Linked DNA regions of Mus musculus: regions 1, 2 and 4 are each reported to be linked to region 3. Evidence: microRNA targets listed by miRTarBase, many of them from high-throughput screens and not tested one by one. Region 3 holds a microRNA gene; each other region holds the end of a gene's coding sequence.
Evidence for each region. Region 3 holds the annotated microRNA mmu-miR-690 (AAAGGCUAGGCUCACAACCAAA, at 1,906-1,927, shown strand). A microRNA usually pairs through its seed, bases 2 to 8, with sites in the 3' UTR of a target mRNA and lowers its output. Matches are read on the target gene's strand: a 7mer-m8 pairs with bases 2 to 8, a 7mer-A1 pairs with bases 2 to 7 and ends in A, and an 8mer does both.

Region 1 (3,150 bases), not on the chromosome of region 3:
TAAGTGCTCTTTCATCAAGCTAATGTAACCAAACCCATTACACTGTAGATGACACATGCAGTGACAGCTACAGAGAAAAAGGCACAAGGGAAATGATCTGTCATCGTGCATGACTGGCAAGTTGCCCTGCACCACACACAAGTCCAATGAGCTCTGTGTTCACAGACAAGAGGTCAGACCAATCCTTACCACCACCTCCATGAGGGAGCTGTATGCCTTGCCTCCATACTGAGCAGAGCTAGTATAGGGAGCAAATGCCAGAGAATCATAGAACTTTCCAGAAAGTGTAAAATAATTTAACATTAAACATCTGCATGTAATAACTGACATCAATAAGCTATCCCAGTGGTCATAATGTAAGCCACTTCAAAATGTGCTTTCATAATAAATAAATACATTTCATTTACTGTGGAAATAAAAGTAAAGTTGGTAAGATGAATGCCAACTGTGTCTCTGGAATGTCCCAAGGCTCTGTAAGATCACTGGTAAATGCAATAAGGAGTAGTAAAATATTCAAAAGTGTTGGCACTGGATAGTTAGATGAGGCAGCAAGAGTGTGGGCCAGTTGATGGGGAAGGTTCCAAGCAAAGGACATATAGGCACAGATGGAGTGGTGCAGAGCTAGTCACAGCATGGCTGAGTAGAGGAAAGGTGACAGCTAGTGACATGGAGGCACTAGGTTAGCTCACATAGTCTAATCAACTAGTAATGGAGAAGACAGTGGTCAGGCTCTATGGTACACTAGCCTAGCTCTTCTCAGCAAACTAAACTGCTTGGGCCCAGTCCCTACCAAGTCCTCTGTAAGATGCACCCTTGTGCTTTTCTTCTGTCCTACACACAATAATGGAGCTAGGAGGGAAAATACATGGGAATGGCCACAGAACAAAACTAGAGAGGCAAAGGGAGCACACCACACGGTACACAGGTCTATGAAGAAAGTCAATTACATTTTCTGAAGGTACCTGATTATGTGGAAATGTTAAAGATTCATTCAACATGGGAAAGTATATAGAAATACCCTTGTAGAAGACCATTTTCTAAACTATGCTCCACTAAACATCATGTTACAAATACAATACCATAGGGTTTCTGACCCCATCTCCCCACAGTGAAGAACTGACCCAAACCCCCATTGTTGCACTGTTAAGAACAAATCAGGAAGCCAAAGGTGGTGGCGCATGACTTTAATACCACTTAGGAGGCAGAGGCAGATGTATCTGAGAGTTCAAAGCCAGCTGGCTTACACAGTGAGTTCCAGGACAGCCAAGGCTACACAGGTTGTGTCAAAAATTGAAAGAAAAAAAAAAGTACAACTTGTCATCTCAAGTCTTATGTTTTTAACTTCTGTCAATACATGCACAAACTGCCTCAGCAGGAGCACTGAGAAAGTGTGGTGAGTCGGCCCATACAAGCAGAATAAAATTTCTATTTGTAAGACAGAATACCATTATAAAACCATTCTACAAAATACCTTCTTGAAATTTCATTTTAAGATGAGGAAAAAAATAAATCTGTCATTTTATTTAACATTCATTCTGAAGTTACAGTTTTATCAGTACAATCTGCTTCTAAAGAAATCTTAGTATAATCCTAAAAGCATGCATTTATATACAGTAAGATCTACATTCCTAAATAAATTACATACATGATATATATTAAACAATAAAGAATACCAATTTGAGAATTCAGGACATTTATTTTTCTGCATGGGAATTTAACTACTATGCAACACACAGCAATTATGTTTACTAGGTAGTGAGACACTTATGTTTACTAGGTAGTGAGACACTAAATAAGCATACTCAAAGTGTCTAAAACAGACTTTGTTTTTTAGGCGACAAAATATTTTATGTCCTTAACATCTCCCTCACCTAGCACCAGATGCAAGGACTTAACAGTAAACATGTACAATCTCATGCTTAAAACCTAAAGCATGCATTGAGTCAAATTGATACCTTCTGATCTACACTACTATATATGCAATATATACTTCTTACAAATACTTTATACATTAAGTTACCCTGCAGCATTCTGGAACTTTAATATCTTTGAATGGTTTATGAGACAAGTTTTGAGGTTCATCTGCAGGCTGGCTTGGGTCAGGTGAGAAATGGCAGCAATCTGAGGTTTATACTAAAGGAAAATGGTGCGTGTTCCTATCAACCATGTAAAGATACCTATGTACATGGATGACACAGACCTGTGCAGCTGGAGCCACCAGTGCAAATGCATGCATTGAGGTACTTAGTTTTTCCATGGTCAGGTATAATTATGCAATCATTTTTCTCAAGCACTGAAGATTTAAGACTTAATCAAATGAAAAGCCTGAACTTTAAGTATGAGATATTTATATCGTTAATTTCCAACTTTTAATGAAGATTCACCATTATAGGCTTAGATATCTCACTGAAATGTTTAACAGTATATTTTCTTATTGTACAGAGACTGATTGGTAATTATACCTGGACAAGTGACAAATAGCATACTTGATATTCTTGCGGGACCTGTAATGAAATAGTAAAATACTTCATTATTGCTTCATTGGACTGAAAAACCTAAGAGGCAACAGCAGTGCTCGATGGTGAAAACTAAACATGAGGGCAGCGGTGTGCCCCTAAATGTCCTCTGTGCACTGTGAACTAAGCGTTCTCCACACTATCAATGCCGTTGGCATCCACGTGGATATCAGGCTCCACACAGAAAGAAGAAGGGATGAAGTGGCTAACAGTGGGACACAAACAGTTCTTAAGCTCTGGCAATTCTTGCTTCAGGCGCTCCAACTGCTCCACTTGGAATATATTTGGCTGTTCAGGCATCCAATCATATATCCTATGGTGAAAACAGACACACAATAAGAATAATGTAATTTCATGTTTATTAAGGACTGTCTGACTTAACTTTTTAAGAAAATCCATTTTAAAACTACCTGGAATATTCATTCTTATTGTATTTTATTCTACTTTAAGATAATGATAAAGATCAAAGCATTAGGTGAATTAATTCTCAGAATAGACTGTTCTTTTGTAACCCCGGTCATAAAACAATTCCTTGAATCAGAAAATGGAATTTGTAGTGCTCTAGTGATTCTTGAAGTATACAACTGGTGATGCCTTAGTTTACAGGAGGAAAACCTCCTGAGCCCTGAAACTT
Region 2 (3,139 bases), not on the chromosome of region 3:
TTTTTTTAAATAGTGAGAAGAGAGAACTGAAAAGGAATGAAAACGCAGGCCTTTCTACTTGGAGGCATTTAAAATCTACTTTGAAAGTATAGTGGTTCTTCAAAGTGCTGGGGTCAAGTTCAGCACCAATGAAGACCAACCACATCCACCCGTGAATCAGATTTCACAGTCCCACGGGCACCTCACTCATTTCATTGTAACCGGGGAAGGATATTGGTAACAGCAACAGAACAGATGCCATGCTCTGGAGGGTCTTCAGTGGTGGCCTAACAATGTTCCAATATTCCCTGTCACTCTGCTGTGAAATTACTTATGTGTCTAAGTCAGAGAAGTCATCTTGACAATGTGTGGTTTGACCCCAGTCATCCTCAAGTGTTTCTACTTGCACGTATGAAGGCAGAGGGCAACCTTAGGTGTCCTCTCTCAGGCTGTCTCCCCTATGTTTTGGGGTAGGGACTCTCGCTGGCTGGCCAGCAAGGCTGGGGTGTGCTTGTCCCCACCTCCCTGGTGCTGGATTACCAGTGCCCTCCCATGTCCTGCTGGGTTTATATGGGTTTTGATGATTGAACTCCTGCCTGTAATACAAGCACTTTCTCTCACCTTCGCCTACTGCATGTGTGTGTGTGGGTGCACAGGGCCAGAGCACATAGGTGGGTTCTCTATTTCTACCATGCAGGTTCCAGGGATGGAACGCAAGGTTCTCAGGCTTGGCAGCAAGCACCTTTACCTGCTGAGCCACCTCACTGTCCTTGAAGAGTAACTTTAAACAGTGCTGTGTTCTGGGAGCCCCAAAATTCCTCCAAGGCATTTACTAAGAACATCTGGAGGCATTGGCTGGGAAAGACAGTTACCTACAGGCATGGGTTTCAGGCTTCTGATTGGTCCACATCTAACGAAGTGTCAGTTGGGCGTACAGTATTAACTCCAGAATAACTTTGCAGTGCAATGTGGCTGCTAAACGGCTTTCTCTCTGGCCTCCTGAGTCACGATGGCCCCTCTGAACGGAGCATTAGAAAAGAACCCTGTCAGGGTCAGAGCACTTGAACGGTGTATAAGCTCCACAGAACAGAGCTTTGGCTGACGGCTGCCAAGAAACTTCTGGGTGGCCTCTAAGTCAACAACAAGCAGAAAGTTTGTGGTGTGTCACCTGCCCAAAACATGACACTCTTACTTTTTCTAGTGGCTGTACCCAGCCTGGCTCCTGGGACATCTGCAGCCCCGCTGGCATCCTGATTTGTTTGAGTAGACTTATACCTTGTACCACAGAACCCCTCAATTGCTTTCACTGAAACTTGACAATAGAAATCAGCTCTCATGACCTGCAGGTCTGACATTTAGGAAAACCAGCTTCTAAAAAATACTAAACCATCCTGACTGTGTCGCTTAGTAAGTGTATTTCCTCTACGATGGCAGCACGGACTCGGTTTTGAACTGGCTTAGACTCATCTCTCACAGGCTTGGGAACTATTGTCTTTGTGAATAAACTGGTCAAGGAGGAACACACCCCGAGATGTCACCACTGAGCCGTCCTCCTGGAGAAACGTGGCAAGGCCCGATCACCATGGAAACTGGGACCTCTCACAGCATAGCACAAGTGCAGAATGGCCACCCATCTTTATTAACGTCTGACTGGGGCTGGAGAGAGGGCTCAGTGGGTGAAGAGACTTGCGATGGGAGAACCTGATGACCCAGGGTCAGGCCTCGGAACCCACACAAAGCTGTACAACTCTACACACCTACTGTGGCGCACACAGCCACCCAACAGCAGATACACACAAAACGAGCAGAAGAAAAACCCGCAAAAATCTCCATATTCAATTTGACTATCTTTGGAATTCTTCATTAAGGTTTTCACGAAATACAAAGCTCAAACATAATTGCCTACATCCACCACAAAATAGAATCAAGTAAGTGGTTAGCACACAAACATAACGATCTTTTTCATTTTTAAAAATATAAATAACAAAAACGTTCAGGGGTTTTACAGTTTTCTTAACGTGTGTGTGTGTGTGTGTGTGTGTGTGTGTGTGTGTGTGTGTGTGTGTCTTTTTAAGGCTTTGTGTTGCAGACTGGTACTTGTGCCCTGGTATCAGGGTGCACTGCCCACCAGCAAGGAAGGCCGCTGTGGATACATTCCTGAGGGTGCCACACACCCATCTCCGCCGCCTCAGCCTGGGGAAACCCGTGCCAGACACCCTCCATCAGGCCGCAGGTCACCGACTCTCTTCCACAGAGCGTGCAAGCTCGCAGAAGACCAACCGTGAAAGGCAAGAGAGATTCCTGGAAAGCCTCTTCCTGTTACTCAGGAAGCCCCCAGTAACCCACAACTCAAACCGCAGTTTGTAGTGAAATCGCTTTCAGATTGAACAGTGGTGAGAGTGGCAGCTTTTGCCCAGGGCTTACAGGAGCGATTAAAGAGGAGAGGTCAACGTTGGGAAAACACCACCGAATACAGATGTCCCCCCAGGAGTCCCATGGCCGGTGAGGGCTGGAGGGAGGGAGATGGCCCCTGCCTTGGGCCTGAAGTCCGAGGGAAGCGACTCCAGCAGGCACCTGACCTGCTCCTGGCCCAGCTTTATCTTGTCATCCAGCTTCCGCTGCTCAATGAGGAGTGTGGACTTCATCTTCACGAAGTGCTGGTAGTCCTGCAGCTGCTCGGCGGACAGGTAGTTGGCCAGGATATCCAGCACCACGCGCTCCCTCCGGTCCAGGTTCTCCTTGAGCTCCCGTGCATCCTCATGCTGGCCAGCCAGAACCTTCCTTTTCTCGTTCAGAGAACTCTGCCAGGGTAAAATGAACAGGTAAGGCAGCCATAAGACAAGGAGGCAGACTCCTGCCTCTCACAGGGCTGCAAACCAGTGCTCTACTCAACAGTGCGAAGGATGGATGGATGTACCTATAGCCATTATTACTATCTGTTTTCTCTCCTTATGTTGAACACTCTGTGGTGGGTAAATGGCTGTGGTAACAACCTGCCCTTTTTAGCTCTACACTTACTGAGCCAATCCTCAAGTTCTCTGAGTACTTTGTGCCCCACCTCTCCATCTGCTGAATAAAAACTTTGCAGGGGGCTGGAGAGATGGAGCCCTGGTTCGGAGCACAGACTGACTGTTGTAGAACATCTGAATTCAATTCCTAG
Region 3 (3,150 bases):
ATTCAGGTAAATCTGGCAAGATGGTGTTCCCAGCCTGTTAGAGAAACCCCTCTGCAGGTTTAGCTGTTGGGATCTAAAATCACAGCATACAGGGACCAAATGCTCGTGTCACTGCCTGCACAGTAATGGTCAGAACCTTGTGTCTATTAAGAAAGACTCTGTCTCTGTCTCTGTCTCTGTGTCTCTGTCTCTCTGTCTGTCTTTGTCTTTCTCTTTCTCTATCACTCCTCCTCTCCAAAGTTTCACTCTGTAGGCTAGAATGGTCTTAGGCTCACAGTAATTCTTGTGGCTCAGCCTCTTGAGTGTTGGGATTATAGGCATGAGCCATCATGCATAGTTGAAAAATAACTATTTTTTTCTTATGCAGAGCACAACAACAATACATGCTTGTATTTCAAAATGGAAAAGTAAAGTCAGAAATATAGAAATGTCAAACCATTTATGATATCAAAATCAGAAAAGACATAGTAATGATTGTATGATGATACACTAATAACCCTCCCCTGATGCCTAATAGATTTGAGAATTAACGTGTATTTCAAAGTTCATACTAAATTATAAGCATTTCTCCCAGGATAGGAAATGTTCTTAAAGGAGATCCTGAGTGAGGTAACCCAATCACAAAAGGACTCAAATGATATGTACTCACTGATAAGTGGATATTAGCCCAGAAACTTAGTATACCCGAGATATAAGATACAATTTGCAAAACACATGAAACTCAAGAAGAAGGAAAACCAAAGTGTGGACACTTTGCCCCTTCTTAGAATTGGAAGCAATCACCCATGGAAGGAGCTACAGAGACAAAGTTTGGAGCTGAGACAAAAGGATGGACCATCTAAAGACTGTCATATCCAGGGATCCATCCCATAATTAGCCTTCAAACGATGACACCATTGCATACACTAGCAAGCGTTTGCTGAAAGGACCCTGATATAGCTGTCTCGTATGAGGCTATGCCAGTGTCTGACAAATACAGAAGTGGATGCTCACAGTCAGCTATTGGATGGATCACAGGGCCCCCAATGGAGGAGCTTGAGAAAGTATCCAAGGAGCTAAAGAGATCTGCAACCCTGTAGGTGGAACAACAATATGAACTAACCAGTACCCCGGAGCTCTTGACTCTAGCTGCATATGTATCAATAGATGGCCTAGTTGGCCATCACTGGAAAGAGAGACCCATTGGACACGCAAACTTTATATGCCCCAGTACAGGGGAACGCCAGGGCCAAAAAGTGGAAATGGGTGGGTAGGGGAGTAGGAGGGAGGGTATGGGGGACTTTTGGGATAGCATTGGAAATGTAATTGAGGAAAATAGATAATAAAAAATATATAAAGAAGGAGATATCTGATGGATTTGATTGAGATTTTAATAACAATAATAATAATAATTTTCATTTTATCAGAGACTTTGCAAATGAAACACTGGACATGAGACATCACTCAGGTCTGAATCACTCATAACTCGTCTCCTCTTCTTTTCTAGCCAGTCTTTTTGCAGTGAGATACTTGTGTGGTTGGGGGTCACCACAACGTAAGGAACTGTCTTAAAGGGTGATGGGATTAGGAGGGTTGCGAACCACTGAGCTAGAGTTAAGCTCTCAGGCCTTAAATTTCAGCCTAAGGCTGAGAGCTGGGAAATGTGCAAGGTTTGGAGTCGGTAGAATAGCAGCCTGGGTGATGATTATCCCTTGCCTATGGTAAGAAGAAGTGGACAAAAAACTATCTGTCAAATTATAAGACAAAAGACTGTTTTCTATTTGTGGTTTATTTTCTTAACCTGAAGGCCACGTTGATTCTTCTGTGTTTCTTTTGTTTTGTTTTGTGTTTTTGTGGAGCTAATTGGCTGTATTAAAGTGCTAGTAAGAAACATTCTCCTCCAGCTGGAGAGATGGCTCAGCTGTTAAAGGCTAGGCTCACAACCAAAATATAAGAACCACTCTTCTCCTAAGAGGATGTTAATACGTTTCTTCAATGACCTGGTTTGTCAGGTGATTAAAAAAAATGGCTATCTGAACTTCAACAACAACAAAACCATTTTATTTTATTTTGTGTGCACACAGATGTGTGAGGCTTCACAGTTGGAGGTCAGAGGACAATTTTTCAGGAATCAGCTCTCCCCTTCCTTCGTGTGGGTTCCCAGGACCAAGCTCAAGTCACTGGGCTACAGAACATGACTTTGTTTCCCACAGTCAGAAAGACAGTACATTTTCTTCCTTCTGTCTACAATAGATCATCTTTTTATTGCTTAGTTTGATTTTACTATGTGGACATGCCTGTTAGTTTATCGGTGCGTCTCCTGCTCGTTGTACAAGCTCTTTGTTGCTGTGTAACAGATTTTCCAAACTGCAGCTGTTTAAAAAATAAGTATCCATTCACCCACTAACCATTTCCACAAGAGAAATGTTTGGTGATAACATAGTTAAGTGCCCCTATTATTTTCCATGATAATGAGATGCTGGCCAGGTTGTTCTGCATCTGAAATCCTTTGGAAGTTGAGCTGGACTGGAAATTTGTTTCTGAAGTGGCACACACCCAATCCTCAGTGCATAGTAGGTGGTCATCAAATTCATGTGGCTAGAGCAGTGGTTCTCAACCTGTGGGTCATGACGCCTTTGCATATAAGATACATATGATTCATAATGGTAGCAAAGTTATAGTCATGAAGTATCATGAGATACTTGTGTGGTTGGGGGTCACCACAACGTAAGGAACTGCCTTAAAGGGTGATGGGATTAGGAGGGTTGAGAACCACTGAGCTAGAGTTAAGCTCTCAGGTCTTAAATTTCAGCCTAAGGCATTTTAATGTATTTTCTTTCCTATATATGGTAAGCTGAAGAGAATTACTGTTTGAATGGAGATTGCTGATAATTTACACTTTCTGCTTTCATTGACAAGAAGTGACCCATTTCCCAATGGAAGGAGAGCTACCAAAATAACTTGTGAGTTCAGGTTTAGGGACTTGTCCATACTATAGAAGTAGGGCAGACCTGGTGGAGTTGTGTAAAAGCACCCTGTGCTTCAATCTCTGTGTCTTAGGGACGTAAGGGCACGCCACTCATCACATTTAGGTTTACAGACCTGTTAGTGGTTATTGTGCAGTGTACAGTGGATATTTGTTTTATTTATTTATTTGATTTGATTTATTCA
Region 4 (3,150 bases), not on the chromosome of region 3:
GATGTCTGTTTGAAGAGTCTGCCTGGACAGGCTGAGCTCTGTTCTATCGTAGCCTAAGCCGCCACAGCCACTGTGAGAGGCTACAGAGGGAAGGGGAGCCTGGCACCGGGCGCAGCCGCCCGGGGGAGTAGGACCCTGTTGCTCTTAGTTTTGAACTTTCTGTTTTGTCTCTTGCCCGTCCGGTTTTAGTTCCTGAAATTAAAGAAGTGGTGAGCCACAAGTACAAGACGCCAATGGTGAGTATGCGTCCCAGCCACAGCAGGCCGAAGCACGCAGGGCTCCCTGGGAACCTTCCGGCAAGAAGGGTGGACCCTCGCGGGGGACTAGATGCCAGGGGTTCAACTCAAGTCAAACACACCTTTCATCTGGGGTACATGTGCTGACCCCCCTCTCTCAGGAGAAAGGCTTCCAGAGACTTGCCTGAGGCTCACTCAGCCCAGGGGCCTGCACTAGTGTCAGGGCAGGCCTCGTACTCTAGGCTGACCCTCTACCTAAGAAGGAGTCTCAGTGTGGCTGATCCAACGGGTCTTCTGTTCCCTGCAGGCCCACGAGATCTGCTACTCTGTGTTGTGTCTCTTCTCGTATGTGGCCGCAGTTCGTAGCAGTGAAGAAGACCTTCGAACCCCACCTCGGCCTGTCTCTAGCTGATAGAAGGGTTCCACAGCTGGCCAAGCCCAGGGGTCTCCCCTCACCTCTTGCTGCTCCTAAGCACCGAAGCTGCTGGACTGAGATGGGAATGTGTGTGTGTTCTCAGCAAGTTCCTTCCCACGGTCTAGCTGGTCTTCTCTTACGTCTGAGTGTCTTTGTGTTCATCTGTCACGGGGCTAAGCTAGCCTCATTACTTTCTCTTCCTACAATAGCAGACTAGCCTTCTGTTCCCTCAGGGCTCCAGAGTGTGTGTGTGTGTGTGTGTGTGTGTGTGTGTGTGTGTGTGTGTGGTGTGTGTGGTGTGTGTGTCTGTGGGGTCACTGTGAGCCCACTATTGCCTGTCCTTGAGATGTTTGCACTGTGGTCCCTTGTCCTAGTCCTTATATCCTCCAGTTTAGGAGTCTTCTCTCTGTCCTCTATGATCTGGCACTGTGGGGCACCTGGGACAGTTCCACTCTGGGAAGTGAAAGACACCTGGGGACAAATCTTCCTGGCTGAGGGCCTGGGAGGAGGAGGGGAGGTTCAAAGGAAGCTCAGTAAGTGGTGGGCGACCTTCCTGCTTCCTCACAGTTTCTAAACTGTGGGTGCATGTCATGCTGCTGCCTGCCCCAGCTCCATCGATGGGTGTCCCTGAGTGGCTGCCATGTGCCGAGCTGGGATTTGTGCAGTGGTCTTCCTGGCCTTTGGCATGAGAGGACGGAGGAATGAGGTGATGGTGTCCCAGACAGCACCAGCTGCTCTGCCTAAGGGCCGGGGATAGGTGGGTCAGGGCTGAGCTGAGCCCAGAGTGCACGCCTGTCTGCAGGCAGAGTCTCCTGGCTTCAGTGCCAGAAGAAAGCTATGGACTGGATAGGAGGAGAATGTAAATATTTCAGCTCCACATTATTTATAGAAAAATGTACAGCTGTGTGATGTGAAATAAATGTCCTGAACTCCACTTGGGCTCCTGTGCACTCCTCTCAGCCCGGGCCTGAGGAAGGCTGTCCCTAGCTCATCTGCATCCAGCGTTGGCATACTGAGAGCCTGCCCTGGCCTCCTGCCTCCTGGGCTTCCTGGGGTGCCAGAAAGGAACACCTACGACACTACGGCTGTAAAGTCCTGAGATGTTCTGGGCACTAGAGAGGAGGTGACTTGGGCATTCACACCTGAACAGCTTGATAAAGAAGTCACAGGAAAACAGGGGTACTGCTCTGTGACCCTGTACACGTGTGTTCAGATGTGCTGTGGTGACCTGGGCCTCCCAAGGGCCTTCGGACCAGGGTTCTGTAAAAAATAAAGTGGTAACCCATGTCCAACCCTCATGGGCTATCTATGCCATGGGAAACCCTGGCACCTGTGGGCAGAATACCCAGCACACTGCCATGACACTTCTGAGACCTGCCGGCCACAAGATTTGTAAGGAAATGTGGTCTCTTGGGAGGAAGTCAGAGAAGGTTGTGATTTCCTGTGTCTGAGCTGCATGGAGTCACTCTGTCCCATGAGATGTGGTCGTGAGCTGTGGGCTCTTGGAGTCTTGATGTCTAATACAGTACAGGGCTCTACTGCCCTGTCCCCCGTATAGCACCCAGCTGGTGTTGCCTGGGTTACTGGCATGAGGCCCATATGCCTGTGCCTCCAACGGCTTTCACTTCCACACTTCCTCACCTGAGCATGAGGGTGGAGGGAGGCTGACATCCTTTCCAGTGCTGATGTCCCACAAGTCCAGGACACTGAACTGGAGAGTGGGGTGACCAAGCGAATGCTGTATGCTTTCCCATGGACATGAACAGGAGACATCAACCCCCAGGAATGGCACAGATCTTTTATTGCTCCTACACAATGAGCCAGCCAAAAGGGCCTGTCCCCAGTCACCACTTCTGAAGCCCACACACTTTATGCTCCCAGTATTAACATTATCCTTAGGGTCAGTTTCTTCAGAACCCAGCAGACCTGCCTGGTGTCACTGCTGGCCAGTCCTTCCAGGATGCACAGTTGCACACACACATGCAGTAGCAGAAAAGGGTGCTCCTCCAACTCCCTTCCGGTCTGGTACACAGCCTGGCATCCATTTGTACCTGAGACATAGGCTGCCTTGTGGATGAACTGTGGCTTCTTGTACCCCCATTTCCTGATAGCCACCCTAGGCCCTTGGCCTTAGGTGGTTTGGAATACGTACCTAGCCATCTCTGGGGAGCCATCCTGGTCACTGAGGAACTGTAAGAGGGAAGGAAACCATGTGATTCCCTAGTCTTCCAAAAGCCAAGATCCACTGAACATGTCAGGACCAGTGATCTAGCAGCCAGAGGTACTCCTTGAACCAGGACAGCAGAGCCAAGCCCAGGGTCCATGGTGCTGTCCTGCTTTCTCCCAAGCCCTGGCCCAGAAGGCTCCTTACCTCGCACCTCCAGGCGGCACTCACACTGTGCCTCGCCCTGCAAGTTGGTGGCCCTGCAGACATAGACACCACCATCATAGGGGCAGGGTTTCCTGATCTCCAGGGTCAATACTCCCTGCTTGCAGAAC

Region 1: miRTarBase lists Gpcpd1 as a target of mmu-miR-690. Seed matches in the 3' UTR shown: 7mer-m8 at 1,266-1,272.
Region 2: miRTarBase lists Shroom3 as a target of mmu-miR-690. Seed matches in the 3' UTR shown: 7mer-A1 at 2,051-2,057.
Region 4: the mRNA of Madd is a reported target of mmu-miR-690. Seed matches in the 3' UTR shown: 7mer-m8 at 866-872.

The regions. Positions count from the first base shown.
Region 1 is chr2:132,527,914-132,531,063 of GRCm38, forward strand. It overlaps Gpcpd1 (glycerophosphocholine phosphodiesterase 1), which reads right to left. Exons shown (of 20, transcript NM_028802.3): 20 at 1,169-2,829. The coding sequence ends at 2,640. Among named protein-coding and RNA genes, the nearest start is that of 1700026D11Rik, 39 kb to the left of the region's middle.
Region 2 is chr5:92,963,997-92,967,135 of GRCm38, reverse strand. It overlaps Shroom3 (shroom family member 3), which reads right to left. Exons shown (of 11, transcript NM_015756.2): 11 at 1,377-2,780. The coding sequence ends at 2,412. Among named protein-coding and RNA genes, the nearest start is that of Gm36764, 44 kb to the left of the region's middle.
Region 3 is chr16:28,598,717-28,601,866 of GRCm38, reverse strand. It overlaps Mir690 (microRNA 690), which reads left to right and starts at 1,824; the gene lies at 1,824-1,932. It also overlaps a transcript of Fgf12 not described here.
Region 4 is chr2:91,135,795-91,138,944 of GRCm38, reverse strand. It overlaps Madd (MAP-kinase activating death domain), which reads left to right. Exons shown (of 35, transcript NM_001177720.1): 34 at 190-236; 35 at 544-1,585. The coding sequence ends at 648. Mybpc3 (myosin binding protein C, cardiac) reads right to left here. Exons shown (of 35, transcript NM_008653.2): 33 at 3,023-3,150; 34 at 2,804-2,841; 35 at 2,429-2,702. The coding sequence ends at 2,831. Among named protein-coding and RNA genes, the nearest start is that of Mybpc3, 19 kb to the right of the region's middle.